Linked DNA regions of Yarrowia lipolytica. The protein of the gene in region 1 interacts with the protein of each later gene in a biochemical or structural test. Links are inferred from orthologs where the notes say so. Each region holds a gene or a part of one and is shown in the gene's direction. Other genes may lie near its edges.

Region 1 (16,505 bases):
GTCGTTTCTTTTTCTGCGTATCAACATCTTGTGCATTCCACACATGCACTATGCCAGGTCGGCAGGGCAGTCAAATGGAGACGATACGCCGTGAGCCGTGTTTTAGAAACCGAGGGACACTGCATGTGATTTCTGTGGACCCCCCCAATTTGAACCTCTTGGGGCTTCATGTCTTCCAGGACCCACAGTCGGTTTTGTTCTCGGTATAGACAAAGTCATTTACCTCTTGGTTAGCATGCAGTACGAGTAGAAACGTATGGTGCCGGCTCAAAGATGTTATGCCTCTGAAGTTTCGGCACAGTACTTTTAGCAAGGCCCGATTTCTTGACCGGGTTAGATCGCGAAATGCCATCAACTGCTGTTGCTGTAGGTGCCAACGGGCCCATGGGGTAGTGTGCGTGTTATAAGTACATAAGTACAGTCGGTGATGAAGAGAAGGAAGGAGCCATAATAATAAGTCGCATCGGTGTCTCACACACTGAGACTTGCCGGTTGAACATGATGAACCTTTGACATTCCTCTGAATTACTGTAGCTGGCCCACAGCAACCAAAACAGCACCCTGTCGACCGTATTCAGCAGGGACACTAACAGTCCGCTATGCGCTCGCTAACGGTAGTTTATTGGGCTGTAGGAATGCTCACTTAGGTGGAGGCTTTTGGTTTGCGTTGTTAAAAGACATATAAACAAGCGTAAAGGCCTCATCTATAACTGGCACTATTGTATCTCTTATGAACGTGGGCTAGTCTTGTCGATCCTCAGCCGTATCCGATACTCAGCACAAACGTGGATGAAGAGAGTGATTTTGAACACGCGTCCACCCTTGCAAACATTACAGCAGTTCTCTGCTTGTCAATATCATGCTAAGGAGAAGAATAACCTGCCCGATTCACTAAGCATTAAACCCCGTCCGGGTTGAAAGTTCATCTCCATGAAGATGGCAGAGGGCCCGGTCTCTTCTGGAACGACAAATATAGACCATCAGATGACCGATCTGCACGCGGCGGGGCACAGATTCGAACTGTCGGCAGTATTATCGTCGCCGCCAGGGCTTGCACCTTGGAGGATGGTTATGCAAATAGCGCAAAGCGGCTAATTCGAACTTTTTCGGGGGTCCACAGAGACAATAGCTGATGACAATTGGATATTTGTGGGGGTCTCCATCTCTGGTAGAATATTAAAAAATTGACAACAAATATGGAGCTATTTATATCGAATTGTAAAAGATTGTTCAATATTACTTGCTCTCGATTACTCCATGCAGCAAAAGTATTTATAAGCCCGTCTTCTAATCCGACGGTCACGTGATACCGGGACCCGTGGGGTCCACGGTCTAAAGTGGGTCAAGGTCCTATTCACACACCATCAGGTGTGTATTTTTAGAAGACTCCACATCCACGAGCCGGGGCGCTCCCCACAGTGCCCAAAAAACCCTCAAACCTCCTGTACAACGGTTTCAGCCTGGGATTCTGTATTTTTAGCAGCTTGTAAGACAGCCCATGTGCGTCACTGCACTTGGATTTTGGAGAGAAATGGGTCTGCGAACCCTACGTCCGATTTGCTCACCAACGCTACCTCCATACAGACTGGTTTTTGCTTCAAAAAAAGACGACACCGTACGAACTACGCCTCGTTTGTGCACATGGACATGTGTTCTAAGAGGTAGATCCGGTTTAAAGGATATAACTCCGGGCAGTGGTATTAATAGCGCCAACAGTCACCCACGCGTACTCGCACCAAGATGGATCTGGCTCCCGGTACCTAGAGCAATTGTTGCAGCCTGCCGGAACTCGTATCGTACGGGGTCTGTGCGACACTAAAAAGAAAAAAACAATGTCACACATACGAGACACACATTGTGCATTGTAGCTGACCCTCAATATCCATCTTGCACGTACGTAGTAACCGGCCTATGCAGCAAAGTCTTCACTCTCATTTAACCCAAAACTTTTAGTGCCCGTACAGTGCGACGTATTGAGCAAGGGGGACAGTGGCCGACGCGGGAGACGCAGAAACGACAAGACGACAAAATGGGAAATGGAATGAAAAAAACAACAAAAAACAACAAAAAAAACCAAACAATCTGGACCCAGACAAACCTCTTGGAGGCTTCAAAGAATCAATAGGTCCTGTATGTAGTGCCTGTATACCCCTGAAGTGGTGAAGTTTATCTGAACTCTATACGCGGTGTCGCGAAAAAAGACGCGCAAAACCAAGTACGCGTGAAACATGCAAAAAATCAACTGAAAATGTTCACGTACAGTGCCAGCATATGCTATGGAACCGACGGGACTGTACTGGACCACCTCACAGAGCGCCAGTTGCAAACTAAGCGCCCGGAAACTCGGGTACCTGTCAGCAGGTGAAACAAGCGAACTGTAGGCGATATTGGTCTGTGTGAGACGAGAGGACGGGAAAATAACTACCAGGGCTAATATTAGAATTCAATTTCGGCTTATGGTTTGATTTGATTGGCCGTATGACAAGGCTGAGCTGACTAAGCGGTCCGGGCAGGAGCTCGAGTACCGCTAGTATTATGAGGGGTACAGGTGTACGAGTATGAAGGCTTGAGGAGGTAAGAGAGATACTCCAAGGAGAAATATGGCCCCCTATTACGCCTCTTTGGGTCTGTTTTATCCCTACTTGTGGAAGAGATGGCTTGGGATCAGGCGGGCGTCGTACAGTGCCAGGATCAGCTGAGATTGGAGGGCATGTCTCAGTGAGACGTTAGCAGTAGTGTCAATGATGTAATTGGTTGCAATTGAAGTGTGTGAACCGATTGAAAAAGGTGAATTACTCCAGTAATTGCCGTTTTTTTATGCCGTTTGGTGTTATCTCTCCAATATCGGATCTTTTGTCCCACAACAGTCCGATTCGGTATTCTTTTTTTTCAGGTCACATGGAAGCGGCGAAAACAACTTGTCCCGGCAATTGCCACAGCAGTGCCACAGCAATGCCTCAGGGAACAGTCGGGTATGTCCCCGTTTCATCTCCAGAAAAAATATATCAGCACAGCTCCACTTATTATCTATATCCGCTTGTTGTATTTGTTGTCTTTTAGTTTCTGCCCTACCGTTATCCATATTGGGAACCTAACCAACTCCCTTCCGAACTAATACACATTTAAAAGAAGACAAATTGCCACAAATGTATCAGGATGTTGCCAAGAAGACGTGGATTCACCTGTTTGGAGTTTTCGGGGTCGATTTGGGCCTTTGGTGACAAAATCTGTCTCCGAAAAGTGACATGTTCCGACACTATCGACGGCGGCTGGAAAAAGTCTGTCGGAGGATTAGCGCCATAATTGGGCCCTAATCTGCACGGGCTAGATCCATTTGGGTCCTGACACCTCTTTGATCGCTGCCACGACCATGCCCTACCGCAGCCTGGGTGTGTGCACATATTTTTTTGGGGGGTCTTCCATTTGTTTGTCTTTGCTTTTTTGTTGATTTGTTGTTCAATATGCAGTCGGCACTCCACCGACATTCCCACATCTGTCACAGGTGCCAAAGAAAAAGGCGAAGCCCCCCCTGCCACAACACAGCTGGTTTATTTGCACAACCCCTTTTATTATCTCCTCTAGTGTACCGTCCACCCAGCCGCCCACAAATAGTTGGACAGCCCACCATGTGGCACCAAACATGCGTTGTTATGACAACCCGAACGATTACCTAACCACCTCCCCACAAGAATACTCCGTCGGGCATTCCAGAAGCAGCCAGACGCACCAACCAGATGATCGGTGCCTGTCGGCGCACCGGTTCCGGACAACCGTTACTGCAGCAACACCTCCGTATGGCACGTGTGTATGGTTGGGGGAGCGTTAGACACGGTGGGAGGGTCGGTCCGTCGAGTCAGGTTAGACCCCACGGGCTTGTTTTGACATACCATGTCAGGGGGGTTCGTCAATGGAAGAGTGTACACTGTACGATAGCAGTGTACCGTACGATACATGGCCGGGTCGCTAAGAACGACTTGATCCAATATTTAATTATTTTGATCGCCGGATTTCCCGATATTCTGGGACAACGTGTTACAGACTAGGGCCGTAGGTGAGGCGTCACGCTCTCCTCATGTCCAGTATATTAGTATATTATATCAAATTATCACAACGTTACAGCGTCCATCGGTCAAACTGATGGATTCGGAGAAGTCAATTGTGGCGGCTACGTGATAGAGTCGATATGGCGCGGTATGACGGAAGGTAGGAATCGCCGACTGATTCACCGTACAAAGTCTGGCGACAGTAGATTGGTGTATTTTCCCATAGTTTCCGGATTTTTCCCCTATTTTTCGATATTTACCTATTTTAGGTATTTTTTTTTATTATTCTTTTCATAGTTTTGCATTTCCCCTAGTTTTGCGTATTCCCTCTATCAATCCAGCTGCCCTTTGTACACCGGAATGCTGATTCGGTTGGCATCCTCACCTAATCGACGGCACCATACAGTGTATGATGCAGGAATATTGCTAGGGTTAGGGGTTCTATTCCCATCTGGTATTCATGGATAGCCTTTTTTATAGTATTTGGGTTAGTCTTTTACATTGGCATTGTGTGCACAACAAGATCGAAACTATCAAACCATGACACACTGTAGCCGTTGTGACGTAGTGAGCCGACGCTGTACAAAAACTGACTAGGCGGATTTGGGCCCTCTGCGAGCTGACGATAATTGCGAGATTTGTAGCGGGTGGGCCTCGCGCCATGTATTCCGTGGATGCAGGGCTAGCAAGCTGCAACCAGACGCATCACTTTTCGTGTTGCTTTTGGTACAGTGTGATATCTGTACCACCACCCTGTGCCGCTTTGGTGCACCTGTGGCTATGAAAAACCCCTCAATCATCATCACTAGTTGCAGATCATCTCTGCACCCATCTCCAGCTCTTTTCGGAAACCGGTGAGATGCAGCTGCAGCTGTGGTGCAGCAAGTCTCGCGAGGCAAATTCCACAGCAACGCGTGATGTATGGGGTAGAGTGGGGGGAAGGGTATCAGGGACTGGATGTAGACGCTTGATGCATGCGAGATCACATATTCACTAAAATGTGTGTTACTAGTAGGTGTTATACTAGTTGACTCAGGAACATGCGTGCCGCGTCTGCCACACGAAATACAGCGCCCCGCTTGCTCATATCTCGACAGTTGATGCACAAGATGCGTCAGACAGGCAGTCGAACAAGCACATACAGATTAGAGAAAACGAGAGTGTAAATATGGATTAGGGTATGGGGGAAGTGGGAGATTACAGGGTAGGGTTAGGGACGGGCTTAGGGTGCGAGTAGCCTACGTAGTCGTACTGTAGATTTTACATTTTTTTGATTTTTTTTTGGCAACGTGCACAGACCGTGTACCGAGCTTGTGTTTGGCGTGACACGAGTTGGTGGGCGTGTTGCAAGGGGCATTTTGGTGCCGGCTAAGCAGTGTGTTTGGGGGTTATTGGTTGGAAAAAAATGCATGATTCCCGCTCATCAGCGTCAGACTTGGTCCTGTTTCTCCTACCCGCGACTCTACTGAGGCGAAAATCTGAACAGTGAAAACGGCCTATTTTTTTGTCTTTTCTATTTTCCCATTTTCCCCATTTTTTGTCTTTTCCGTTTTTATTATTATTTGAATACAATGACCGACCTGTGGCCAAGTGTGGTTCCCTTGTCACCCATGTTTACAATAGTTTTATTGTCTCCACCAAATACAATGGTGTAGACTTGACGGTCCAAAACTTTACAGTCTCTTTGTCAGGGTCTAGCAATCACACAGGGCTGGCCGCCATTGTTTACAAACCTAGACGTGAGTATAAGAGGCTGCCGGCCGCTATCGAGGTTGACTGACTGATTGATCAGGAAAAGGTGAGTGAGGATCAGGGTGAGGTGAAGGCGAGCGAGGGCGATTGAGGTTGGTCATGATCTCCTCGCGGTCCGCATAGTCTTGTCGGGGTGGTCATGGGTTAGCTATGGTCTTGTCGAGTTAGCATGGTCAATGGTTACTGGTCGGTGACATGATCTCTGACCATGCAATGGGTCCGAAGAACCGCTGCGAGCACGCGTGCCTGCTACAGCTCCTACCTGCTACGCCATGTCTCACACAACGTCTCCAACCGCTGCACCAGTTGTACTCGACATTGCCAATATGTGGTTGGCCCAACAACCAAGTCTAATTCTAATGGGCAAAAGGCAAACATGCGCCAGAGGAAACCAGCTCACAAACTTGATCTCCTATCCACACTAACACAGGATGCAAAGTGTGACTAGTCCACTGTCACGACGGCACATGTTTGACGACTCGCCGTCCTACAAGCGCAAGCTGGTTTCGCCGGCCTGCATGGCGGGAGATCTCACCGCTGCCGCCGTTCATATCGAGACGTGAGTATGAAACCAGGAGAGGGATAGGCGGGGTTAATGGGGATGATGGTGATCAAATCGCTCTGATTCTGAGCACATGTCCCATCATGAGTCCCCATCATGAGTTCCCACCATGTGTTGCAGACTGTATGAACCTGAGCATTTCCAGCCAAGTCACAATGCGCTGACAAGCGGGGGTTCTGTGAATCGTTATCGTTACCACGTTGCTGTAACAATGTCAACACAGAATACCATTGGGAATCAGCTGGACTTTACTCATGACATCAAGCACCAGACTGTCTCCCCCAGTTAAGCCCTTTTTCTTTTCTCACCACTGTAGACTTCCGTTTACATGGGACACGCACACGCAGACAGCGTGCAGTTAATTATCACCACTAACGCAGACCCACCTTGCCCACTCCAAGACGCTCGCTATTCACCGCCAAAACCCCTGCATTTCTCAACCTCCCTCCCCCAAACGACTCCTCGACGCCATGTGGAGTCCCCATGAAGAAGTCAATGAGCATGATGGAGCCCATGTCGCCGCTGTCCGCTGGCTCGGACGGTAGCACCACCTTTGGCAGTAGCACCAGCAGTAACACCAGCAGTAACACCAGCACCAGCAGCATCCAGATGCACCGGCTACGAAAGAACAACCGCAGCACCAGCAGTCTGCGGCTCACCAGCGCCGGCGTTTCGTTCGACCCCATTGACGAGGAAGGTAGCTTACGTAAGCCGTTCCGTTTCTCGCTTGAGCTGGACTCGCCTGCCAACACCCGCTTCACACACTCCATGAATGAGGCCGACAGCAGCATGGACACAGACGAGGATGGCCTTGGTAGCTTGTCTCAGAACTTCCGTTTGGGAGGAAGCACCAGCCACTCCAACACACATAGTCTGAACTTTAACGGCTTTACGCTCGGCGGCGCGGCAGACGAGAGTGCGGGTGCTGTTGCCGCAGCAGATGTCACCGCTGACGACATTAACGATACGCCGTCAGCGCGGCCGGTACGGCCCTCTCTCAACCCGCTATGCAAGCGGTCATACAACTCGTCGTCCACGCCATTTGCTGCCAAGTTCAAGCGGCCCCGACGAACCCACTCCATGTTCCAGGACCCCAAGGAGCTTATGCAGGAGGAGCTGGACGAGGAGAAGGAGATGGTTCGACGCCTTTCGCTGTCGCCCGACGTTAATAACAACGTGGACTCCTTTCTTGTGTCCGCTGACTGCACTCTGGAGTCGTTTTCCGTCGAGGGCGATCCCTTCCGACGCATCAAGCGAGAGACTCTGGTCCAGATTCTGGACGGTCACTATTCGCATTACTACGATCGCCACGTTGTGATTGACTGCCGGTTCGAGTACGAGTATGATGGCGGCCACATTGACGGCGCCATTAACATCAACTCCAAGGATCGACTGGAGGAGCTGCTGTCCAACGAGGAGGGCATTCTCGGCAACAACTGCAACAACATGATGCGGCCCGGCAAGCGGGGCGGAGACTCCCGGAAACGTACTCTGTTGATCTTCCACTGCGAGTACTCTGCTCACCGAGGCCCGCGAATGGCCATGCATCTGAGAAACCGAGACCGTCGGCTCAACATGACTAACTACCCGCACCTGAACTTTCCCGACGTGGTGATTCTGCAGGGCGGCTACAACCACTTTTTCGAGCAGTTCCATACACGGTGCTACCCTCCCCAATACGTCGAAATGAACGATTCCATGCATAAGAGCACCTGTGAGAGAGAGATGGGCCGATTCCGGCGTCACATGAAGCTACGAAGCGAAAGCTCCATCAACAAGCAGCAGGGCGTCATCTGTTCGCCGGTTGGGTTGTCTCGTTCGCTGAGCGAAAACGTAGACTATCATCGACCCAAGCGGGTGGTGAGTTGCCAGCTGTGGCGATGATGTGCATCCAGAGACACTTGCTTCGATTGATCAATTTCCACACAGGTTTCTGTGGGGCAGCCTTGATGGTTGTCCTTCAGTGTCTTCTGAGATCCTGCAGCGGTCCAGAGACATCAAAAGAACACTGATATAAAAGTACTGACAATAATACATTATACCCACTACAAGTAGTTTGAGCAGTGTAGGCAGTGCTGTGTGTGGAAGCCGGTATAGCAGAGTGTACGAGCACGAGTACTCTTCACCCTCCTAGGCGACGCATTTGAAACTAAAAGTTCAGTGTCTCGATAGAGCAGGCAGCATCTACCGCACTTGTTTATGGATTCATCATCAGACCATTGGGGTGGTTACTTTTGTTGTCCGCCTCATGTGCACGCACTGTAAGTATGTTACAGCTGGTCTATGGCGAAATACCGCAAGCTAGTGTTTGGCCAGGGTAGCACGAGTTTTTGGTCTTGTCGGCTATTGGTCGAGTTCAGGGAGAAAAAGTTGCTCATTCCGCTTCTTTTGCGTCTCAATTGCTCGTCTCTTTTCGGCTTGTTTTTCACATCCTGTTTGCTTTGCTCTTTGCTATTTTGGCGATACTGGCACGATTAGCTTGCTTAATCAGAGTGCATTGTTTAGGCAAGGGGAAGGAGCCTCGGAAGAGACGGGCGGATGTGCTGTACGGGGATTGTGGGGCTAAACAAGACGGAAGGCGGGTACTTAATAACTCGTCTTGACGGCGCAGTGTGAAACGGAGCTACTGGGGTGCACGTATCCCGGTCCGTACCAGTAAAAGTTGTAAAAGTTGTAAAAGTTAGCCTACTTGTAGGTGGGGCTGACCAAAAGGGTGTGCGATTATGTACGTACGATTCCGATACAGCACGGGCACTGAGGCTGTAGGTTGCTTTATTATGGACAAATGATTGCTGTTGGAGGAGGAGTCTTTTGTTTATTGGCATTAGTCATCACTCTTGGGCTTGGTCTCCAATGCGATGGCGTCAACACCCCCAAATGTCTCAACCTTCCGATTTCCACCCAGCCAAATGCACAAGTTAGACCACTTCCAAAACAGGGCTCCAAATGCGGCGCTAACAGGCCCTTAACCCAGTGTCAACAGATTGCGCCACATGATGGCTGTATTCTCCGAACCAGGGTGGTCCACAAAGAGCCCATTGTGGGCGATACCGCGTCTCTTTGTCCCCAGCAGCCTCCTATTTTCGGGCCCTTTTCTCTTTTATACACCCCACAAACCCTGAGCTTAGCACGCATCGGTTTGGCGTACTTTACGCGCAAGCGGGGCTAAACGCGATGGCCATATGACCGGCTACAAAGAGAGATGTTGATAATAAATGTGAGACACGGACGTGGCGGCTGGCTGCATTTGTGCGACACGGGAAACAGGGCCGGACCGTGGGGCGTAACGAGTCTGCGAGCTGTTTTGGTTGGTGTATGGAGAAATATAAGAACCAAACAACAAAAATATAAAAATTTAGAATATAAAAATAAGAATATAAAAATAAGAATATAAAATAAAATAAAACCTTTCTCTGACAGTCGCCAAAACTCACTTGAGACTATAAAACAAAACAGCTCACCCCACAAAAAGATCTGCGGCGATCGAAATGTTGCTATTGCTATCTTTACTGTGTTGGCGATACGATGCCGTTGGAAATGAGCGCCAAAAACGGTCCAAAAGCGGACCTCAAGCTCCACGCTGACGTCACTTGACTAAGCAACAAAAAGGTAAACAAACCACCGAAGGTATTCACAATGAGCTTGGAATGCATCCGAAACTGCTTACATCACGTACAAGTACTCTCGGCTTGGTCATATGAACACAATACACATACCAAACACGTACGCGATCACCTGAATCCCATATATATCACCTCACCATGATCTCCTGACCTTCCCCTGACTAGTCAGCGCTACGACAAAACGTCTTATCAACGTATCTGGTGTACCCCTCGATTTAGTGCCACCACCTAGTATGTACTGTATGAACGGTCATAGAGTCACCTCTTTGTATCCATTATTATGTGTCTTCCCAAAATACCCGTATGTACTTAAATGTACTTGTAGGGGTTGAGAATGTGGTTAGGGTCATAGGCGTTCTTGAGCTGCTTCATCAGATAGACATTGTCCTCGTCCTTGGAGTACTGGATGAAATGCTTCTTGATGAGACCAAGACCGTGCTCGGCAGAGATGGAGCCGTGGACCTTGGATACCCACTCGTAGATCCAGGGCTCGAGGACCTGAGAAATTCGCTCAGAGTACTCTCGAGTCATAATGTTCAAATGCAGGTTACCGTCTCCAACATGGCCGTAACCAATGACATCAACCACGGGCTTGGATGCGTCCGTCTTGGAGATCATGTCCTTGCTCTCGAAAACGGCTCGCAGGTCGTCGACAATGTTGTACAGCTGGGGCAGAGGAATAGAAATGTCGTACTTGTAGACACCACCCTCCTTGCCAATGACCTCGGTAATTCGCTCTCTCCATGCCCACAGGTTCTGGAACTGAGTCTCGTCGCTGGCAACCACTCCGTCGCAGACAATCTCCTGCTCCATCACGTCCTCCAGGAAAGCCTCGAGCTTGGCATCATCATGCTCCTTGTTGGAGCCGGCGGTCTCAATGAGAATGAAGAAGGGGCTCTCAGTGTCGACCGGTCGGGTCAGGTCGCAATGCTGCTGGACCCAGCCCTGAGATCGGCCGTCCATGAGCTCAAACGCAGACAGAATCTCACCGAGATCCTTCTTGGCGGCAATGAAGGCCTGCTGGACCTTCTCGTACGATTCAACGGCCAGGTATGCCACATTCTTGGCAGCAGGTCGCTGGGGACACAGAATAGAGACGGCGGTAATCACACCAAGAGTACCCTCGGAGCCAATGAAGAGCTGCTTGAGATCGTAGCCAGTGTTGTCCTTTCGCAGCTTGGACAGCATGTTGACAACCTTTCCGTTGGCAAGCACAACCTCGAGACCGAGGACGGAGCCGTGAAGAGAGCCGTATCGCAGAAGACGCAGACCTCCGGCGTTGGTGGCCACGTTTCCTCCAATGTGACACGAGCCTTTGGCTCCCAGATCCAGAGGGAACATGAAGCCCTGTTCGGCCAGATACATGTCTGCAGCCTCGAGAATGACGCCAGCATCAGCAACAAGGATTCCAGAAACATTGTCAAAGGACCGTACCTTGTTCATGTTGCTAAGCGACAGGATGATCTCATCGTACAGAGGCACAGATCCACCCACCAGACCGGTGTTTCCTCCCTGGGGCACCACCGCCAGTTTCTTGTCGTTGCAGTACGACAGAATCTTGGACACCTGCTCGGCAGAAGTAGGCTTGAGCACCAGCTGAGTCTGTCCACGGAACTTTCGCATCCAGTCAGTGTTGAACATCTCAATGTCCTCTACGTCGGTCACCAGACCGTTTTCGGGCAGAATGGTCTTGAAATGCTCAATGTCGGCCTCGCTGAGTCGAGCATAGTCGCCTCGGGTCTCAGTCCTGTACCACTCGGCAGTCTGCTTGACCTGAAGAGCAGGAGCAGTGGTGTGAACAGATCGAGCGGAAGGTACAGCCTTAGCCAGAGCCAGGGGCTTGGCAGAGAGCTGGGTGGCGCTCTTGGCAATGGAGTGTCGAGCACCCCGCAGGGCAACCCGGGACACCAATCGTTTACCGGCAGATTGCATCATGGTCGTAGTGGTTTGTGGAGGTGAGTCAGAATCGATTTTTTTTTACCTTCACCATCACTTTCGGGCGCTTATTTTGAAACCTTAATTCGGTGATGTTGAAGCAGGTGCGGATGAGGGGAAAATGAGCAATTTCCATTGGTGGAGGAGGACATGTGGGGGACAAGTGGGGGACAAGTGGGGGATATTTTGTGTGTTTTTTTTTTTTTTTTTGGAGGGGGGGTTTGGTGTTCCAAGGATGGTGGTATTTTTATATTTTTTTGGGAATTGACAAAAAGAATAGTTTAAACGGATTTTTCAAATTTCGTTTCTACTTCAAACGTCTCTTACCACATTACAGTCTCATGGTCGAGCCGTTGTACTTGGTAAGAGAATATTGGCTTGATGGCGGCCGATTCCCTTCGTTTCAGATCTTGACAGCTATTCCTTGTACATGTGGGACACGAAGTATCCAGTTCTTCACCATCCAGATTTTGACATTGTAAACAGAGCCCTTGAATAACTGTTGATACCAATAACATCCTAGAATGTAAACGCACTCATTCTATGCAGAAACTACCACCTGCCGTTCCAGATGTCCTCTGATCCAAACCACCCTCGTGGAGCTGGAGGAGGATCTGGGAGCTTCCAGGAACTGGGTCCTAGCCCTGAGCTGGGCAACTCATCGAACGCCCTCTGGATCCGAGGAGTCTAGACACCGGCCGGAGTATCAAGAAGACCGGGCCAGGTAAAGTGGAGTCTTTGATTCCGAGAGTTGGTGGTATTCGGCGATTCGAAGCTCAGCCCAATATCCAGCTGTCCAACTAATGGTTTCCTGTCAAAAGTTCTTACACATTACCGCACGCCTCAATATACCATCGCACAAGTATATCATCTTCTGAATATAAATTAGTGATTAAATTATTCGTTCGTAGGGCATTATAGTGTTGTTGCAATGTCTAGACAGACTCAATGTAGACGTGCTGTCCGTCCTTCTTGTCGTCAGAAGCGTGCTCGTCGTAAGCAGCGACTCGAGTGGTAGGCACAAACTGGTGGGATCGAGAAGCAATCTTGATCTCGGCGTACATCTGGTCCACCTCCTCCAGAGTAAGACCCTTGGTCTCGTAGATGAAGAAGTAAGTGAAGGCGATGCACAGGAAGTTGCAGCCTCCCCAGATGAAGAAGACCTTGGTCTTGAGACCGGCCGATCCAGGGGCCTCGTCGACGAGGTAGGGGGTTGCAAAGGCAATGGCAAAGTTGAAAAGCCAGTTGGAGGCGGCGCATAGAGCAACACCCTTGGCTCGGATTCGTAGAGGGAAAATCTCTCCAATGACAACCCAGGCAATAGGACCCCAGGTGGCGGCGAAACCGGCAATGAAGGTACAAGTGAAGGCAATCAGAACCTTTGAGGAGGTCTCGTTATCAATGGCAGTACCAACAGCCGCCACGATAAACTCGGAAGAGCACATGACGATAGCTCCGATCAACAGCAGCTTTCGTCGTCCGACTCGATCAACAAACATGATACCGGGGATGGTCATAACCACGTTGACAATGTTGGTGATCATCTGGATGAGGAAGGGGTTGGAGATGTTGGACTTCTTGAAGAACTCGGTTCCGTAGTAGAAGATGAAGTTGATACCGGTGAGCTGCTGCAGGGCCTGAATGGCAATACCGGTCAGCATTCGCTTCAGCTGGGACCCCTTGGGGGAGAAGCAGGCGGCCCAGGTGGCGCTACCGATCTGCATCTCGTGGTCGTGAGAAGATTGGATCTCCAGGAGCTCCTTCTGTACAGCCTCGTGCTCAACAGGAAGTCGTCGTAGTCGTCGCAGGGAATCGGCGGCCTTGTCGTACTCGCCCTTCTTGATCCAGAATCGAGGAGTCTCCGGTAGCAGGATGAGACCTCCACTCAGGATGACGGCCCACAGAAGCTGAAGGCCGAGAGGAATTCGGTAGGAAGCACTGTTGTCTTTGTTTTTGGTTGCGTTGTTGACAATGGCAGCCAGCAGAAGACCAATGGTGATGGCAAACTGGTAGATGGAGACAACGGCACCTCGGATCCACTTGGGGGCAACCTCAGACTGGTAAAGAGGAACGATGGAAGAGACTCCACCAACACCAAGACCAGCAACAACTCGTCCGACAATCAAAAGCGTTCGGCCGGTGGCAGCAGTCTGAAGAATAGCGCCAACAGAGAAGACGACACAGAAGAGGATCAGACCCAGTCGTCTTCCCAGAGTATCAGAGGCCCAGGGAGCAGAAATGGCTCCAGTGAAGGTGCCTGCAGAAAGAATGGAAGTGATGAGCGAGGTCTGCTCAGAAGTGAACTCCAGGCCGTCATCTGTAAAGGTCTTCTTGACGAATGGCATGGCCATGACGCCGGAAATGGTTCCAGTGTCGTATCCAAACAGAATACCTCCAAACGCGACAAACACGGCCACAAAGGCCGCCATGAAGGCCGAGCCCTCGGGCTTTTCTCCACGGTTGATGATGTTAGCGAGTCCCATGGTTAGTAGTGAATCAATGTCGTGTTTCAGGTGGCAACTACTAGTCTCTATATATACACACACGAGAATAATGAAACCAGTATGCTTTTGGCCATCATTCCCCAAGAGAGCTTAGCTGCTGCTCTCATGTGTCACCAAAACAAAGAGTTGACGGTGGGCGCCAAACCTTCCCCAGGTTTCTTGTTTGGCAAACGCTCGCACCACCCTCCCCGGTCTTTGACCTACCTCGGGGGTTATGGGTCCTTCTACCCGGGCGGAATAAACTCGCATGGCGCGGCACTGTCTTACCTATAGTTGCGGTGGAGAGTTATGCTTACAAGAGGTTCACCATCTCCTACTTGTAGTTGACTGATGTCTAGCTCTACATCTTGTTCCGGTTCCACGCGTGGGGCTTCTTCCATGTACAGACGGCTTTGACACGGTACAGTAGTGGCCGGTAAATGTCGCGAGAAACTTTGGCCAACCGTCACCAACTGCATCTGCGGGTTGGCGCGGTCCAAAGAGTTGGCCAAAGGCAAATTCTACGCTTCCTCTTGCTCTCTCTCTCTCTCTCTCTCTCGTCTGAGACTGCCCAACCTTTTTGAGGAGTAGTCGCGCAGCCGTGCCGTGTGGGTGCAGCGATCGTCTTCAGCCGTGCTAAGGGAGCGCACTAGTGTTACGTGGGGAGGGGGTGTCACGGGTCCCAGAAGCGAGTCATGACAAGACCCAAGCGGTCCTGGCGAGACGTCTGATGCCGTATACTTGATCAAACCCCGGATTAAATCTGGAAGAAAAGAAAAAAAAAATTAGCCATAAGCGAGCTCCCCGCACATCAATCTATGTACCCCTTGTTTGGTTAATCCGCTCCAGCTGGTTTCTTGTTCTGATGCACCTACCCCGGTCGCCGAACAAGACCTGAGCTATGCACGGGGGTGGTTGGGCAGGACGCATCTTCAGGACCCACATCAACCTGCTTTTGAAAGGTTGTCTCCTTGTCTTTCTCTGTCTCGACGTCAAGTGGAGCACGGAAAAATACTGAAAAGTTAGTCTCAAATTTCAGGAGGGGCAAAACTTTATGCACGAGGCCGACGAGACAAGTTGGAGGGAAAATGGTGGCCAGAATCCGTGTGGGCGAAAGAAAAGCGTGTGCGGATAAACCGCCGGGCCATTTTCATATGTTGGTAACCCCCGAGCAGACAGCGGTCCATTCTTGGCACGCGTGTCTCGTCTTGACTTGAAGCATAAAAGAAGCGGTTAATACAAGTGCATACAGTAGTGTCTCTCTCCTCCCCCACACAAGACAACCATTGAAATCAGCAAGTCGCTTCTTGTGGGGAGTGTAGAGCCCCGGAGTTTATTTCCCAAAAAAATACGACATTCTGTTGCCAATTCCGAAGTTCCACGGCGACAGAATAACGGTCCGCCATCAGACAGCTGTGGATGTGGGAGCCCAAGAGGGTGAAACACACGTCCATCTCGGTGTTTCGTCGAAAGCCGTCTCAGACCCTACAAGTAGTCTCTTGGCTTTCCACTTGTACGTACAGTAGCTACTTGTCAAGACATTGCGCATCAGCTCGAACCGTTGAGAAGTACGAGTGCCACGAGTAGGGCGTACTGCCCGGTACGACCACGTACAAGATACGGTCGTCTAGTGCATCGAGCCGCTTCAGCCTCTTTTACTCGACAAACAACGAATGCCAAAACGCTGCCGGATTATATCCCCAGTCTAGATTCGCCAAGCCGGTCTCAAAAAAGAACAACTGCTGACAAAACTTTTTTTAATATATCTTGGCGGTGTAGATATTCAGTAAAGGCCGGCCGAGGTTTTCGCAATGACAAATCACATGTTTAAGAAAAGGCTGCGGTGGTTCCTTGTTGTTCGGTGGGCGTACGGTTGCAATTGGTTCACAGTGACTTAGGAGCATTTCCACGACTTTGGAGAATGCCAATTTCGCCGAAATGCTATTGCTGCCGGGTTTATTTTTTTTGTTCATTATTAATTTATTATTAATTATTATTATATTATTATTTATTTTTATTTATTATTACTATTTTTTTTTCTGCATATACTATTTATTTTTGTTCAGCTACTTGTACTTCAGAAAATACTTCTAAAATCTATCCTGAC
Region 2 (16,909 bases), on another chromosome or scaffold:
GTACATAGAAACTCCATCAGCCATCCACAGTTGATATATTTTTGTCACGTGACCGCAATAGATGTTGCCCCCCCTCGGGTCTAGGAGCCATCTGGGTCCCTTCACCTTTCGCGGAGGAATTGCATGGGTGATGCACGACCATGTTATTGTTCCAAACTTTCATCCGGATATTGTCCCTGACTGTTCAAGCACCGCTCTCCAACGCTCCAACCCTTTTCAGCTCGTCGGCCACATCCCTATGAACCGATAATGAACCAGCCCGACCCCAAGGCTAACGTCAGGCCGCTGGCCATTCGAGGAAACTCGTGGTACAGCGAGACTGGTGAGGACTCGTCGCAGCAAACATCCATGCCCTCATCTCCATCTCAGCGACTTTTGGGCAGCACAGCAGCCTCCAGTCTGGCTGTGTCTCCCGTGGGATGGGCCACGAGGGCCGGCATCACGCTGCCCCTATTCCGAAAAGCCTCCATGATCCTGCCAAACACAGGACAGCGAGTACGACGACAAGTGACTTTCAGCAACGAGGAAGGGCGACTGGTGCCACAGACAATCAAGATAACGCCTGAAGAACTGGAGGCATTAGCAGACGCAAACGCAAACGCAAACGCAAACGCAAACAATTTCCAGACAACGTACCAAAATTACAACAGTATCACCGAATTTGGAGAACCCAACAGCAGTTCTTCTCCAAACTCGCCAGAACCGGACCCCGAACGGTCCTTCAACTACGCTGTATCGACAGTTGACAGCCCCACAATGTGCCACAGACACAAACCAAAGCCCACAGGAGTGTTTGGGAAACTGAAATATTACGCCACTGGAGCATGGATCGATCCAGAAGCAAAGGTCGTCTTAAAATGTTCAGTGGGATACCTTCTAGGAACCGTGTTCGTCTACAACGACCGTCTCTCAAGACTATTGGGTAACGGTGACTCCAAACATATGGTTGCCACTTCAGTTATTTATTTCCACCCAGGAAGAACCATGGGAAGTATGGTTGAGGCTCTTATTTTTGCATCTATCGCCCTGCTGTACTCCTTTTGTGTCTGTTCTCTGAGTATGTTAGTGTCGGCATTTCTGGTCGACTTGCATATGCGCCTATTGGCGTACATTATCGACCTAGTCATCTTCTGCGCCGTGGGACTGGGCACTCTGGCCTTTGTTAAGCAGAAAATGGACTTGCCGACTTTCAACACTGCCACTTCACTGGCGTGTGTGTGCCTTGTTAGTGTGCTGACGAAGGAGGGAAACGTGCAGCAGGGCAGAATTTCTTTGGAACAGCTGAACCAGATCTTCTTGCTCGCCATTACTGGTTGTACTGTGTCTGCTCTGGTTTGTGTAACGCTCTGGAGAACTTCTGCAGTCACAGAACTCAAGCAATCCATTTCAAACACCATGGACATATATGGAGACATGCTTCTGTATCTTACCAGGCAGTTTATGCGGGCTGTCGACGTGGACAGCGTCGAGTACATTGAGCTCAAGGCCAAGCTGCGTGCCCAGCTGAGTTGTTTCAGAAACATTCGTCATGCGAAGCTGGAACTGTACTTGACAGGCCGAGAAGATGAATACCACCAGCTGGAGAAGCTCGTTCATCACATGAACAGTATTCATCAGCATCTTAACGCTCTTACTTCAGGTGTTGAAACGGAGCATTCTACATTGACGCGAAAGAAGCTGTCCCAGCTGTTTAAGGACAGCCCCATCAGAAAACGACACTCATTGAAGAGAACTCTTTCTACCCCTGGAAGTTCTCTTCCTTCCCCGAATTTTGCATCTACAAAACCCAATGAGCCTACAATCACGCCTGAAAATCTGTTTGATGTCTTCTTATACCACTTGGGTCCACCCATGAAGTCTTTTTCTCTGACCATGAAGCGGATCTTGCACGGTTCGGAGCTCGACAAATGCGATGCCGAGGCGGATGTTGCTCAGTACCAGAGATCACTTGGTCTTGCTGAGGAGCTATTCTGTGAAGCCAGAAAGAAGGCTCTGGCTGAAGTCTACGGCTTGGGGCTGTTTAAGCGAAGGCACAATGACGAGTTCATCACTGATTGGGAGCAGGTGGCGGCTTCGTGTGGTAACTTCTCGCTGCTGCTTGAAGAAATGGCTTCTGAGGTGCAAAAGTTGCTGGGAAGCATAGAGGGATACCTCACCATCCGTGAAAACGACGAGAGAAGCTACCGATGGCTGTGGGGAGGCAAGCATAGAGAACCGACGGCAGCAGAGGAGGCAGAAACTTCCCAGAGGAGTGCAGTCAACAAGATCATCAGTGGACGTAAGACCATGGCGTTCATGACTCGACAATCTGATCTTCTGGAGGAGGGGTTTGCTGGGCGAATGCATGATGATCTCAATAGTGCTCTGACTAAGAAGGCAAAGCACGGAGAGCTCGAAAAACCGTCTATGTCGTTCCGTCTGTGGAAACGCCTGCGTGTTTTTAGAAGACGAGATGTCCAATTTGGAATTAGGGTAGGTATTGGAGCAGCTATGTTTGCTACCCCCGCTTATATGCCCAGTCTTCAGCCAATTTTCTATACATGGAGGGGCGAGTGGGGGTTGATTTCCTACGTGGTCATCATGTCCAAGTCAGTAGGAGGCACTACTTGGACTGCCTGGAAACGAATTATCGGTACGTTTTTGGGTGCTATGTGTGCCTATGTGTCTTGGGTTTTGTTCCCAGAGAACGAATACATGTTGGCATTGATTGGAGCTGCCATTTCTTATCCTTGTTTCCGCATCATTGTTACGTGGAAGGATAACAATGCGTTTGGCCGATTCGTTCTGCTCACCTTTAACATTACAGCTGTGTATTCGTACTCGTTGTACCTTGGAGACAACGACAATGACGACGATGAAGGAGGTCTAAGGCCTCTGGTAGGTACTATTGCTTTCCATCGGTTCGTTTCTGTGTGTGCTGGAGTTATGTGGGCGTTCCTGGTTACTGTTCTATTGCTCCCCAACAAGGCCCGAGTCAATCTCAAGCATGGTCTGTGTTCACTCTGGTTGCGAATGGGTCTTACGTGGAAAGACCCGCTGGCGTCCCAATTTGATCCTGCTACTGGAGGGTATAGGTTGGTTGGGCTTGCTGAGCAGCCCCAGTTGCAGAACACATTGATCCAGCTGGACGGTCTGCTCAAACATGCCCCCAACGAGTTTCGTCTCAAGGGCCGTTTCCCTAAGAACACGTACGACAACATTCTCAAATCAACACAGAAGATCCTTGATGCGTTCCAGAACCTGCGACTGGTCATTGAAAAGGACCCCACCACGACTCCTCATGAAGCTGTTCTGCTCAAAAGCACGCTGGCTGAACGTACTGAGCTCAGTCATCGAATTTTCCTGCGGTTCTACATGCTGGCCTCTGCCATGAAGCTTGGTTTCCCCTTCCCAGACAATTTGCCCTCCACCAAGCATTCTCGAGACCGTATGATGGTCAAACTGAATATCTATCGAGGCAGTCAACCTGAAGAGTATGAGCAAAACAACGTCATGGCAGCTGGTTCGGAAATCACAGATAACGACTTTGCGCTCCTGTACATCTACATTCTGGTCTGTGTGACCATCACCTCCGAGCTGGAGATTCTAGCCAAGCTGATGCAGGATCTGTTTGGTGTTATTGACGAGGAGATGTTCGATATTAGTTACAGTTAGGAGTGTTAATTGCATTGTTTTAATTGACGTAAGAAAGAGGTTGTAAACTGTTTACAATGTGCGGGAGACAGCTTGAACATCAGACTTGTCGGTGTAGACAGCAGGAGCTAGTCCAATGCTGTAGTCCTCCAAATCGTAGACGACGTAGGCGTTCTTAAGGAAAGGTTCTCCGAGAACAGCATCATTCGGAGATTCATAAAGGGCAGAGTTTTGCACTCCCAGTACACATGAAGGGTCTGTGGTGTCCCCTGAGAAGAATCCCATGGGCAGTACCAAAGACGAAGAGTTGGCTGAGATTGTGAGTCCGTCGAATTTGAAGTCCACGGAGATCTCCGCTTGACAGTCGATATAATACAGACCCATATCTTTGTTGTAGTTGGTCAGGTTAAGCCCGCTTCCTATAGCTCTGAACTGGGTGTCTGGAAAGGCAATAGCTAGCGACCCTGAGTCCAGTGTGACCGGCAGATTGAAGTCGAGTTCGTGTCCGCCAAGTACGAGGCTCTTGAAATTAATCTGGGGACCTGCACTGGGGTTGGCGACGTTGTAGTAATGGAGATCTCCAGAGTATTTGGCGTGGTCAATACCTCCCAGTAGAAAGGTTCCGTCAGGAGAATGGGGACCGTCAAAATGGAGAGAGTAGAGCACATGGTCAATAAAGCCCTGTTCTTTGGCGGAAAACGGAAAGTTGTAGTACTGGGGTTGTCCATTTCGTACCGACATTTCTACTTGCTTGAAAGACACACCCAAGATTCCTTGCTTCTGGTCTTGCATGTTAGAAACAGCTCCAAGTTGCAGATTGGACAGAGACAGGCCTGCTGCGTTGACATTATCGGTCACCCAGTATCCCTGGGCTGTTCCTCCGACGTATGCCGCGTTGAAACTGGTTCCTAAAGATTTGAACGTGGAGGAAGCCTGGGGGTTGAAGAGCCCTGGACCTCCAGTTTGGTCATCACCCACGGCTGGTATCCATAGATCAGAAGATCCTGTATCAAAGCTGACTTCGAATGACTGAGGAGGAGTGCCCACACCGATGTATGTGGAAATATAGACCCCAGGTCTTCCCTTGACCGACCCTAGGTATGTCTTTTTAGAGACATCCATAGACACCACCTTGGGGTTGGAGGGTGCAGCTACTGAAAGAGCTGAGAGAGCCAGAAGAGCCAGAAGAGCAGGGAACGAAAAGAACATTATCTCCACAACTACAACCACGCTTACAGATCTCTTATATGGAATGTAATAGATGGTAGAGTTGATGCCGTTTGCACTTTATCCACCATCTGACAAACCGTATCCACCTACAAGTACAAGTAGTAGGGTTGTATTGAGATTAGGAGGGGAGTAGAGACTAGAAGTGTGGAGACACAGAGGAAGTTGAAAAACAAATTGGAGTACTATCAAAAGCCCGCAACCGCTTGAATTTACAGTCGGACTGACAAAAACGAGAATGTGTGTGTTGTCTGAAACATCTCCAAAAAAATTGCGAATTCTGTGGGATCGAACACAGGACCCCAGATTACTCTGACCGAAGAATGACTTTCAGTCTGGCGCTCTCCCCAACTGAGGCTAAATCCCCGATTTTTTCTTTGTTAAAAACCCAGGCCCCCGTGACTAAGCCGACTGGATGACTCAGCCGGGGTGGCCATAACCCAAGGTATGGTCACTGCCGTCACTCTCAAGAAAGGTGTATTAGAAATACATGGAATAGGGGTTTATATGTTATCCAGGGTTGGGCGGCGCAACCTTTGTCCGTGATAGCAAGGCTTGGCATATCGATATTAATGATAGCGGTAATCCCACTGAGGGGCCCACGTGGTGGCGCCCCTCGGTCGTAGTCTCCCCGCAGCGGTTCAGAGAGACTAATCCAGGGCGGCTATTTCTTAGCCGCTGATCCCTAACATCATCCCCCCCCCTAAGATGAAGTCGTGGAAGCGACTTCCATCTTAACACGATAAAAAGCAACCATGATTCGACGTCGAGATGTCCAAGACAAACATTCCCCGTGAAACAATCTTATGGATCAGACTATCCATACAATAAGGTGCAGCCCTCAGCGACGCGAGAACTTACACGAGGCACGTTGAAACTCCTCATGACCAGAGACAATCACAGCCGACCGACATCAACCCGCGGGGTCAATGTCTGAGAATAACAAGGCAAAACACAGCCCAACTTCGCAGTTGACGGATCAACAAACCGACAACCACGTCGACTAGGCTTCAAACAGTTCCGAGAAACTCGCCTCGGAGGAGCAGACTCTCACATCTCTAAACAGACCAGAGATGGCTGTAGTGTACCAACGTAACCTCAGCAATAACACTGAGCCGTTCATCCCAATCCACACCGAAATGAACAAACCGACATACGAGAAATAGAAACATCAGAAACCGTTTCGTTCCTTTCTCACCCCACCTCAAGATGATAGCATCATCTTCAATGCGACTTAACACACTCCAAGGGATCTACCGACACAGACAGAAAGAAAAGTCTGGTCTAAACCCTTAGAACAGCAACATGACGATAACAACACGTCATTACTCACCTCAGGACGACAACCTAGTCGAACGTAGCGGAGGCTTTGGCAGTGGAAGCGACTACTTGTAAAGTCCACACAACAGACTTACAAAACAGGGGGAAACATCACGAACGAGCCATGACCAAGTTCAGTGATAACGGGTATGCCGCGACAAGTTCTTGTCTCCAGCGACACTAACCAGCAGGTCGCAGGGAACTTGAGCTGACCAATACCGGTGACTGAGTTTAGAGAGAATCTCAATCGTTGGTACGCCACCGTGTCATTCGAAGACCACTCTTGAATTGCTAAACTCTTTTCTCACGAGTCCATAATGACGTCCCCCCGGACGCTCTTGAAGACGACGAGACAATAGTCGTCAGAGTTCGCATGTGTTTATGCAGCTGGACACAGCCCAACACAAACCTTAATGGTGGCAGATAATGCACACCTTGGCAGCAATCAAGAACCGGAAGACACCCAGCAGGGAGCCTAATCTTCGCTCACCAACATGTTACTGTACATTGCAACTTCCATCGACCTAGGATCAGTCCGTCTCATGAAGCCTCCTTTAAGCAATCAAGACCACACGCCAGTTCCCGGAAACATAGTGGCCTCGATGCGTCGTAACCGAGTATGACGACAACGCTGAACGGAATCCTTCATGGGGATGCCCTCCACCGCAGCTGAAACGACTCTCGAACCGTTCCTATGAAGCGCAGCCGAACCAAAGACCGTCGGCTATTCACTCGGAGCAACCATGCTACAACGAGTGCAAGATACGTCCTCTTGTCGAGCGCGCCTCCTTGGGGAGAAGACGTCACTCCTGTGAACTTGACTGTCCACCTTATGGCAGTAGGAAGGTATGGAAAGCTGGCAGAACCGCAGCACCTTCGCTACTCTCAGTGCAGACGCCACGTCTGATGTCGCACTGCCGTGAGCTCCATCACCGACATCGTCACTCTGGGATACATCATCCACAGACATCAGCCAGCGATACCATCACTCACTGAGCCAGCTCCTCGACAGCCGGAGCGTGACTCCCACGACGACAGGATGAGACTGCTAGACGATATGACACCAAATACATTTCGATAAAAGCCATCGGCATTTCTTCTCCACCTCTCATCCTTGGAAAGTTAGTCATGATCATGCCAACTCTCCCTACCACTCGTGCATACTTCACTCTCCCCTCCTCCCACAGAGGCCTGTTCGATACTGCGGGACTCCAGGGTGCCACCATCTTTTACCCCTCTAAAAAAGACGCCGACAACTAGAGAGGCCTGGTCCCACTCGCCTCTACTTGTAACCCAGCCACCCCTAAAAAAATTTCCGGGGTTTTTGGAACGATGACCTGAACTGAGGCAGCAGCAACGGTATGTGACTTGCGGAATTTCGAAGGACCGTAGCGGTGTAGGTGTTTGTGTCGTTTAAACCTGACCGACTTCCCCTGGCCCTGGTTCTCGCCCCAGAATCGCATTGCACAACAAGTGCATCGGCCTTACCAGATGTTAGACCCCAGGCCCCGTGACTAAGCCGACTGATGACTCAGCCGGGGTGGCCATACCGAAGGTATGGTCACTGCCGTCACTCTCAAGAAAGGTGTATTAGAATACATGGAATACAGGGGTTTATATGTTATCCAGGGTTGCGGCGCAACCCTTTGTCCGTGATAGCAGGCTTGGCATATCGATATTAATGATAGCGTAATCCCACTGAGGGCCCACGTGGTGGCCCCTCGTCGTAGTCTCCGCTAGCGGTTCACGAGAGACTAATCAGGCGGCTATTTCTTAGCCGCTGATCCCTAACAATTTCTTTTTCGGACACAATGGCCACCGCAACACCGTGGCGGGGTACAGGTTATGAGCGAAAAAGAGCGATATTTTCTTAGATCATGTGATACCTCATATCGATATATTAGGTAAAGTTCTCTGGAACCTTATTTTACTGTTAATTCAGCCTCCATCAAGACATTTACCAACCTGCAGGGTAACTCACGTGACGAAGTTTGGTTGAAAAAGTGAGATTCTCATGTGGTTCTAGAAAGCACCTCCGCACACCATACACACCACCATACACACAACTTTTCAAATGGCAGACATTTTGAAAAACGACGATGCTCTCAAGGAGCAGTTTGAGAAGAACATTTTACAGCGGGCCACGCAGGTTATGGGCTCAGAGCAGGACCCGACTCTGGGGCAGTACATTGTGATGATGCTGCTAGACGACTACGTGACCGAGGACACAATCAAGTCAGAGGTGAAGCAAATGACCGAGGGGCAGCTCAGCGACGACTTTGTGGCGTGGTGCAAGGACGAAATGGGTCGCGTGGCAAAACACGGCGGTGCGGTACAGGAGGACACAGAAATGGAGGATGAATACAGCGTGGGGTCTATGCCTGGCCGACGGAAAACAGAGAGCGTTTTCAAGGGCAGACAGGATCGAAGTGCGTTTGGAGGCGTGGGCAAGTCGCTCAAGGATCGGGTCGGCCGAAACGGCGTGTCCAAGGCATTCAGCAAGGAGGGGGAATATAGCATCAGGAGCAAGCCCACATCTACCGGGGGAGTTCCTACGGGTTCTGTAGGAGGCATTCCGACGGACGCACAGCAGGCCATGTTCGCGACGATGCAGAAAGCGCTGTCGATGGATCTTCCGCCAAAGGAGCGGTTCAACCATCGGTGCCGAAACTGGCCCAACTGCAACTACGATAACTGCAAGTACGTGCATCCCACAGAGGCATGTGAGGCGTTTGCCAACGGTGGAGCGTGTGCTGCTCCTCCTGGCACGTGTCTCAAGGTGCATGTTGGCCAGGATATCGATGATCTGGCCAACCTTCCCGAGCAGCCCAAGCCGTTTGAGTGGGTGCCCTATGAGAGATACAAGCCTGCAGTTCCCAAGGGCTTTATGCTCATGCCCATGATGACTCCCCAAGGCCCCCAACAGGTCATGGTTCCCCAGGTGCCCGTGAAAACGACCATCATGGAGTGTCGGTTCACAGACCGGTGTGCCAACCAGCATTGCACTTATGGCCATCCTACTCCATGCAACAATGAGGCCAAGATCACCGACCATTTTGCGTGGTGCGACAATAAGGAGCACTGTGCGGATCCTGAGTGTGTCAAGAACCATCCGTCGTCGTCGTTGGTGCGTGAGAATGAGTCTCTTCCCTCAGGCCAGACTCTGGAGCAGTGCAAGTTCAACAACTACTGCACCAACCCCAAATGTCGGTTCCGACATGCCATGTCCAAGACCATTTGTCGAAACGGAAAGGAGTGCACCCGAATGGACTGCATCTTCATGCATCCCGTGGAGACGCCATGCAAGTATGGCGTCAACTGTGCCAACAACAATTGTATCTTCTCGCATCCCGAGGGTCATGGAAACGGCACTGCTGAGCGAAAGTTTGTGAATGAGGCTGAGGGAACTGAAAAGCTCATTCCTGGCCAGCAGCAGCAGCAGGATGTTGAAGGTTCCACTGTTGACGCCGATACCACCATGGAATAGGCTGTTGTGTCAATGCCATACGCCGTTCCAAAATATAGCTTGGTCATTCGGACCACGGTAAATTATTGTAATATATATATTATTATTGACCCAACTGTGGGTTTGAGATGAACTGAGAGGGTTGTAGAGGAACGCTCCGAGTGGGGCGGTCTATTGTATATGTACTACTCATTACTCACAACTGTTTCAGTTACTACAAGTAGTACAAGTAAAGATATAATCAACCAACCAAGGCTACAAGTGCACCAGACTTGCATTCACTTTACAGAACATACTTGAAGATCGGTCAAAAGTACAAGACGCAGGCAAACTGCTATTTGTCAGACACACTATGATTATGGTATAAGACAGCGTAGCCCTTCATGTTAAGGACCCTTAGTCACTCGTGAGTAAGTGGAAGGTTTATGATGCCAGAACATTGCAATCGCACAAGTACTGTATGAAGTAGCCTGATCTTCTCCTTTTCATATAGGTGCGGTTGTTGTGGTGCGATTTTACAGGTCCCATGGCCCCTCTACAAGGGCCAACCGCCAGCTCACAAAACTACCCTCTTTATTGTTGGAAAACTAAGTGTTCGCCCACCAGTCTGGAACCCTTACATCGTATTGGGGCGTATCCGAGCCGAAGGATCGTCGTCAAGGTTTGTTAGGGCGGGTTTCACGTGAGCTGGGGTTCAGGAAGTGACGGACCATCAGAGTCCGACATTTCAGATCTCTCTATCTCCATTAATCCAATGTACACCTCCTTGTTGGCACAGTATCATGGCTAGCTACTGGTAGCCCATTTCGGTGGTGGTATGCATGTACTGAATTGCGCCGTTGAAACACCGTTTAAACGTTAGGGTGGCAAAGGCAAGGAGTCTTGTTGGGCATCTAGGACGATCCCATTTCGTATTTTTTTTCTTCTAATAAATTCTTCTAGGAGGACCCATTTTGTCACGGTATTGGCCAAGACTTCTCGCGTAAATGAGGACCTGAAACGCCCTTGTTGTGCGGTTCATGTCATATGACGACACGCCATCTCGGGGGGCATCGGACATGCATGGAGCACAAAGGGACAAACCGAAGGATGGGTCTCTGGGATCTTGTAGCGAATATGCCTTTTTGGTGAGCTGTGGAATCGAAATACGACGGTCAATCGCGGTCCCACAAACTGTCGGCAATCTCGTAGCGTTTTCCTACGCCCTTCAAAAGACCGTCTCGAAAAACGCACACCCTGGCTTTCGGGCCAACTATAAAGCCGCGACTTTATTTTATTTTTCATTGCTTGTGAGACTAAATGGACGGTCGATCGGGTACCTTGCCTGATTAGACAGTCGGTTTGAGAGAGGGGAGAGTCTCAAATTCTGTTGCCCAGGAGCCCCATTGCGGCGGATATGTGCCATGTGCGCCCGAAAACTCAGGGATTTGAGCGCCGCAGACGGTCGGGTCCAAAGTATCCACATACAAGACAAGACTCTAAATATTTTAATATTTTTGTTTCCTTGCTCCATTGTTCTTTGCTCCAAACCATGCCGCGTGTGCATTGCTACTTCCAGCAACCTGCATAGATAGCAGCCTGTACGGGTACATAGTGTCGCATGTGTTGATGACGTCAATGGAAGGCCCGGGGTTCGGTTAACAGGGACTTGACCGGTCGGAAATGACTGGTCACAACGGCGGCCATGACCTTCGGACAAAGGCCCGAGACACGGTTGGTATCGTGAACGGTCCCCCCCCTGACCCCCAGCCACTCTTCTCGCCAGCAACTTCCCCACTACAGCCGTGTGCCATAATAACGCAACGTCATGCGGCAAAGATAAAAACTAGCCTTGTAGCAATGACCCACGATGAGTGGGAGGAGGAGTACAAGTAGCGATCAAGGTATGCCTTGAGAGGAGACGTAGGGATAACCGTAGGCTGACATACTGTACTGCTTTGTATCTCACAACCGGCGTCCCCACGACTCCACCACCATCCCCTCGTTCACCACCTTCGCATCCCCAGAACATTCACGTCCTGCACCTGCAGTCAAAACACTCCTTTCTCCCACCGACACCAATTCTTGTTTCTGACTTACTCACGACACCACCACCACGCCTCTGATAAGACACAATGCCCGTTTTTGAAAACCTCAAAAACTTCATTCGGCATGGAAAACAGGCCCAGAACGGCCTGGAGCCCATCTCGTCCCGTAACTCGGGCCGACGAAGCCAACAACCGCCCGCCATCACCCACAGTAACAGTGAGCCGCTGACCAAAACCACAATGTTCAGCGAGGGCGCAGCTCAGACCAAGGAGCCCGCACCGGCCGCCAAAGCCGCTGCTCCCGCCAAAAAAGTCGACAAGGAGAAGTACAACGACGCGATCAAGGAGATTGTGGAGGAGGAGAAGCTGCAACAGAGCAAAATTCCCAACTACCCGGGACTCGAGAGATACAGGCTGATTGAAAAGATGGGAGAGTGAGTATGAGAAACGGGAGGGAAACATGGGGTTGTGTATGGTGACAGGCGGATGCTTACGACGGCCATATATATGGCCATTCTGGATGTCTGTCGTTCAATTTCCTTGGGTCATGGTGTGATGATGGGAGTATGGTTAAAGTGTGTGCTCAAACTTGTTAATTATTTTGTGACACGCTCGCTTACATCATGTTCACTATGGACGGTGAGGACATAGTGTCTGGCCATGTCCAGCTACTACATCCACACACTCGGACCTGACTACACCACTTGACACAAGTCACATGTCACTAGCGCGAATTTCCAACCATGTTGGTAATAAGCATAATGGCCTGCAAAACAGGTGGAGGCGTTTGAGACACGTGACGACGCAAGAAGAACTGATACCCAGTGTACTTGTAGCGCTGTTCCGTGCTTCACGCGCCAATGGGCTCTAAATACCACCCGCGCTAAACCCGCATAAGTGTGCGGTTAGTACATTATCTCAACATGCTAACATAGTGGCGCATTTTCCATTGTCTACAAGGCAGTGGATCTCCAGACCAAGGAGGAGGTGGCCGTCAAGGTCATTCGGAAATTTGAACTAAACGCCAATCAGGTGAGTCTTGTGAGGAGAGAGGAGTGAGAGAGTGAGAGAGTGAGAGAGCGAGAGAGAGAGAGAGAGAGAGAGAGAGAGAGAGAGAGAAGAAACGAATGCTTGTGCCTACACTCAGGAAAGAAAGACACCACTGACACAAGTCGCGACATTTAGGAAACAAGGCTAAGCATGAACAAAAGGCAACACAGGTGGGTTAATGAAGGATCAGGGATTGAGGTGGTTATACCCGCAGTCGCAAAATACTAACTCAGCGTTCGAGTATCCTCAAGGAGGTGGCAATCATGCGTCAATTACGGCACAAAAATGTGGTGCAGCTCATTGATTTTAGCGAAAGTGAAAACCACTACTTCATTGTTTTGGAGCTTCTTCCTGGAGGAGAGCTGTTCCACCAGATTGTGCGTCTGACGTACTTTTCCGAAGACCTGGCCCGACACGTGATTGTCCAGGTCGCAGAAGCAGTACAATACTTGCATGAGGAGGTAGGAGTGGTGCATCGAGACATCAAGCCCGAAAACCTGCTCTTCTACCCTGCTCCCTTCACCCCCAGCAAGAAGATTGTGTTGAGAAAGGGTGAGGACGAGAGCAAGGAAGACGAGGGTAAGTACATTCCCGGCGTGGGAGCCGGAGGCATTGGGGTTATTAAGCTGGCTGATTTCGGACTTTCCAAGGTGGTCTGGGACAGCAAAACCATGACTCCTTGTGGTACTGTTGGATACACCGCTCCTGAGATTGTCAAGGATGAGCGGTATTCGAAATCTGTCGACATGTGGGCTCTGGGGTGCGTTCTGTACACTATTCTGTGTGGCTTCCCTCCCTTCTACGACGACAGTATCGATGTTCTGACCGAGAAGGTCGCTCGAGGACAATACACTTTCCTGTCTCCCTGGTGGGATGAAATCTCCAAGGGAGCCAAGGATCTCGTTTCACATCTGCTGACGGTCGATCCCGAGCGTCGGTACACAATTGAGGACTTTCTGGCTCATCCCTGGATCACCCAGAGCAACGAGCCCACCCATCCTGCTTTGGATTCTCCCATGGCGTCCATTTTGGACCAGCGAAAGGGCCACACTCCCGCCACGACTGCCATTTCGCGAGAGAACGTCGAGGCCGAAGATCCTCAACCCCACGACTCTGCATCAACTCTGCATGTCGAGCACCCTGCCGAGGGCGCCTCCACGTCGTCGTTTGAGGATCCTCAAGCAACGTATCGGTCGCCGGCCACTGTCACCCTCAAGGAGGTGTTTGACGTGTCCAACGCAGTGCATCGAATGGAGGAGGAGAATGCGCGACGTCGCCGAATGGGCGGCTCCAAGAATCTCGGCATGTTGACCGAAATCATCACCGACGAAGAGGACGAGGAAGACGACACTCTGGAGGGAAGCATGTCTCGAGTGTCGGTGGCCGAGAACCCTCACGCCCACAAGCGCCAGAAGCAAAAGAACCGATCAGGCGTGTTTGAGCTCAAACTTGACGGCGCCACGTTGCTTGAGAAGCGAAAGAGAGCCGCTGCCGGTGTTGCATAGCGCGCAGCGTCTGTCGCTCTTGTTCTGAGTTATCGAACGGCATTTTTTATATCTACAAATCAAACGGGGCAAAAAATCAACCAGAGACTTCAAAAAATCAAACGTTTGCACTTGTACATTTTAGCACGATGGACAGTTTGCACCACGGATCTACGGGTTCCTTGTGTGCGAGAGAGAGCAGGGCTCGAGTTGCACAATGACACACAAAGGTAAGGAATTGGAGGGATAATTCGCAGTAATAAAGTGAGGGTATGTATGACTATTTGTAACAGAAATTGTAGACAAGACTCAGGTATGTGCTTGTATGAGCACGGGTACTTGTACTTGTAGATGCTTCTCATTCATGTATGTACATACATTGGTACATATTCGTGCTGTAGATGTAAATGTGTGTATATTAGTTGATGTCTATAATGCGTGTCCGTGTCTACTTTTTTGTTTTTCTCTTCTTCTCTCCCTTGCCAGTCTCCTTGAGCTTTTCCTTCAGACTCTCCTGGTATAGATGCAAATATTCCTCGCCGTAAACCTCGACAAACTCCTCCTCCGAATGCACATATTTGGTGAAATCAAACGGTTGAAAGGCCGTCTTCAGTTCTCGTTGTTTCTTGTTCTCCTTCTTCTCGGTAGGGGCATTTTCGTTCTCCTGGCAATAGAACCGTCTCAACAACATGATGGCCTCTTCACGGTAGAATCCGGGGTATGCCTTGTAGGTAGGGTCGACTCCCTTGTCCGAGTGAATGCTCATGACGCTTCCACAGCCGCCAAACCGGTCGTTTGCACATCCATAGTACACGCACTTGATTTTGAGCTGTCTCAGAGCAGATGCACACATGATACACGGCTCCACTGTGACGTAGAGATCGACCTCTTCAAAGATATCGGCCGTGTGTGTCTTGAGAATGTGCTCGATACCCAGAAACTCGGCGTGGCGGGTTCCACACAGACTCTTGTTTGTGTCATTCATGCCTCTGGCAATCACCTTGCCGTTGTGCACAAACACGCATCCCACAGGCACCTCGTTATTGTTGAGCGACAGTTCTGCCTGTTCGAGAGCCTCTTCCATGAAGCCCGAATGGTATTCGTATTTTGTAGTCATTGTAGGGTACTGTACTCGTGCTGTTTGCGTTTTTCGTTGGTCTTTTTTTTCTTTTTTGGTCTTTTTCAGTTAGCCCTGTCAACTGATGCAGAATCTTGTTTTTTTTCAGCGTCCTGCGATAAGGGTTAGGGTTGATCTGGGTGGTTCGAGTTCCGAGATGGATGACTAAGACTGGGTTTGGGTTAGTCCTGAATTGGATGCCTCGACATTTTCACTTTCAGTTTCTCCACGCGCATGGCATAAATTAATCCAGGGGAACGAATAAGAGAAAGCCAAAGAAGCACACACGTCATGTACGGCACGTAATTTAGCAGGCGGCATGACAGAGGTGATGCAATGCTTCGTGGTCGTGGATAATTCGAGCTGGGTGATCGTCGGTGATCGTCGAGGGAAAAAATCGTGTCTATCTTGATTTACGTGTTTTGACAGACTCTGGTGACAGGGCTAATAGTCGGGGGCGGCGGGCGTTAGAAAACGATTAAATTATGATTAATAACTTGATCGTTTGGAGAAGTTCCCCACGTTTCAGTCTAAATTCCTCCACTACCAGACATTTTGTGTTAATACCGCTAGAAGGAGAGGCCGCCAGCAGTTGGTGACATGGTGTGCAAATGCTTGTCGATGAGAATATCATGTGGCAGGCGGTTAATCCCTACTTGCGGTGGTAGATGAGACGCGTGGATGTCGCATGAGGAAGTAAGGAGGTGAATCGTCGGTGGGAGCGAGTGGTGTGTCGGGGAAGGTGCAAGCGCGTGGCCTCTATGGCAATTGTGAGCAAACGACAACTCGAGAATTGCACACACTGTGGCGATATCAGCTTCTCCACAGACCGCTCAGAGGACACGTCATCGATAAATACGACCATTATGTTTCGCGACCTGCATGGCTCTGGTCATTTAGCCAACTTAACTTTTCCCACTCGGAACCTTGAGTGGTGGCGGGCAGGAACATGTTTAAACAAGGTCACACAGGCAATGTGAGGAGTCCAGTGACCATGACAATTGGCGTTGGCATGGACATTGCCATTGGCATCTCTGAGGAGTCTTGTTGTCACGAGATTTGGGTCTGGTTGTTCTGACTGTGTCTGTGTAACACGCCCAAGACCCCGTTCTGTCCCATGTGGCAAATCACACAACGGTTAACTGGCCTGTGTCATGTGGAATATGGTAGAAACCACACATTTCATCCACACATAACACAGACGCTGTTAACACGTCATTGAGCGGTTCCACAGCAACCCGCAATCCCGCAATTGCTCACATGACTCGCCGTCAATGTCGCCACCGTCGCCACCTCAAACTGCCACCCTGGCAGCTTGCCCAAAACGACCCTGTTCACTCCGTGTAGGGAATGTCTGTTCATGCCTGTCGATGCCTGCCACCGCTGTGAAGCACGCCAAAGGCATCTTTAGGTTTGGACACGTAACCGAGTGGAGAGAAGAGCAGCACAAGAGTTGGGTGGAAGGCGGTAGAAGCATGATGGCCGGGGAGATTGAGACGGGGAAAGCCGGGATATGGCTGGTAGCAGCGTGTGACGCGTAGGTGTGGGCTCGGAGGTCACGTGGACGCTCGCGAATACCTCCAAA

What was found.
Region 2: of the proteins of YALI1_C08600g (region 1) and YALI1_E16773g, one has a biochemical effect on the other in vitro, tested with the Schizosaccharomyces pombe proteins (2 studies listed by BioGRID). The link is inferred for Yarrowia lipolytica from reciprocal best matches to the Schizosaccharomyces pombe genes cdc25 and srk1.

The regions. Positions count from the first base shown.
Region 1 is NC_090772.1:850,245-866,749, reverse strand, and holds YALI1_C08600g (uncharacterized protein), read left to right. Parts: upstream 1-6,226; coding exon 6,227-6,354; intron 6,355-6,737; coding exon 6,738-8,241; downstream 8,242-16,505. Other genes in the region: YALI1_C08548g (uncharacterized protein), read right to left, coding at 10,290-11,915; YALI1_C08523g (uncharacterized protein), read right to left, coding at 12,851-14,398.
Region 2 is NC_090774.1:1,673,389-1,690,297, reverse strand, and holds YALI1_E16773g (uncharacterized protein), read left to right. Parts: upstream 1-11,760; coding exon 11,761-12,107; intron 12,108-12,608; coding exon 12,609-12,705; intron 12,706-12,956; coding exon 12,957-14,228; downstream 14,229-16,909. Other genes in the region: YALI1_E16900g (uncharacterized protein), read left to right, coding at 250-3,654; YALI1_E16854g (uncharacterized protein), read right to left, coding at 3,706-4,842; YALI1_E16841g (uncharacterized protein), read right to left, coding at 5,919-6,113, 6,160-6,186; YALI1_E16820g (uncharacterized protein), read left to right, coding at 8,255-9,667; YALI1_E16750g (uncharacterized protein), read right to left, coding at 14,656-15,324. UniProt on the Schizosaccharomyces pombe protein: Delays the mitotic G2/M transition by promoting nuclear exclusion of cdc25. During osmotic stress, inhibits the G2/M transition in a sty1 stress-activated MAPK pathway-dependent manner.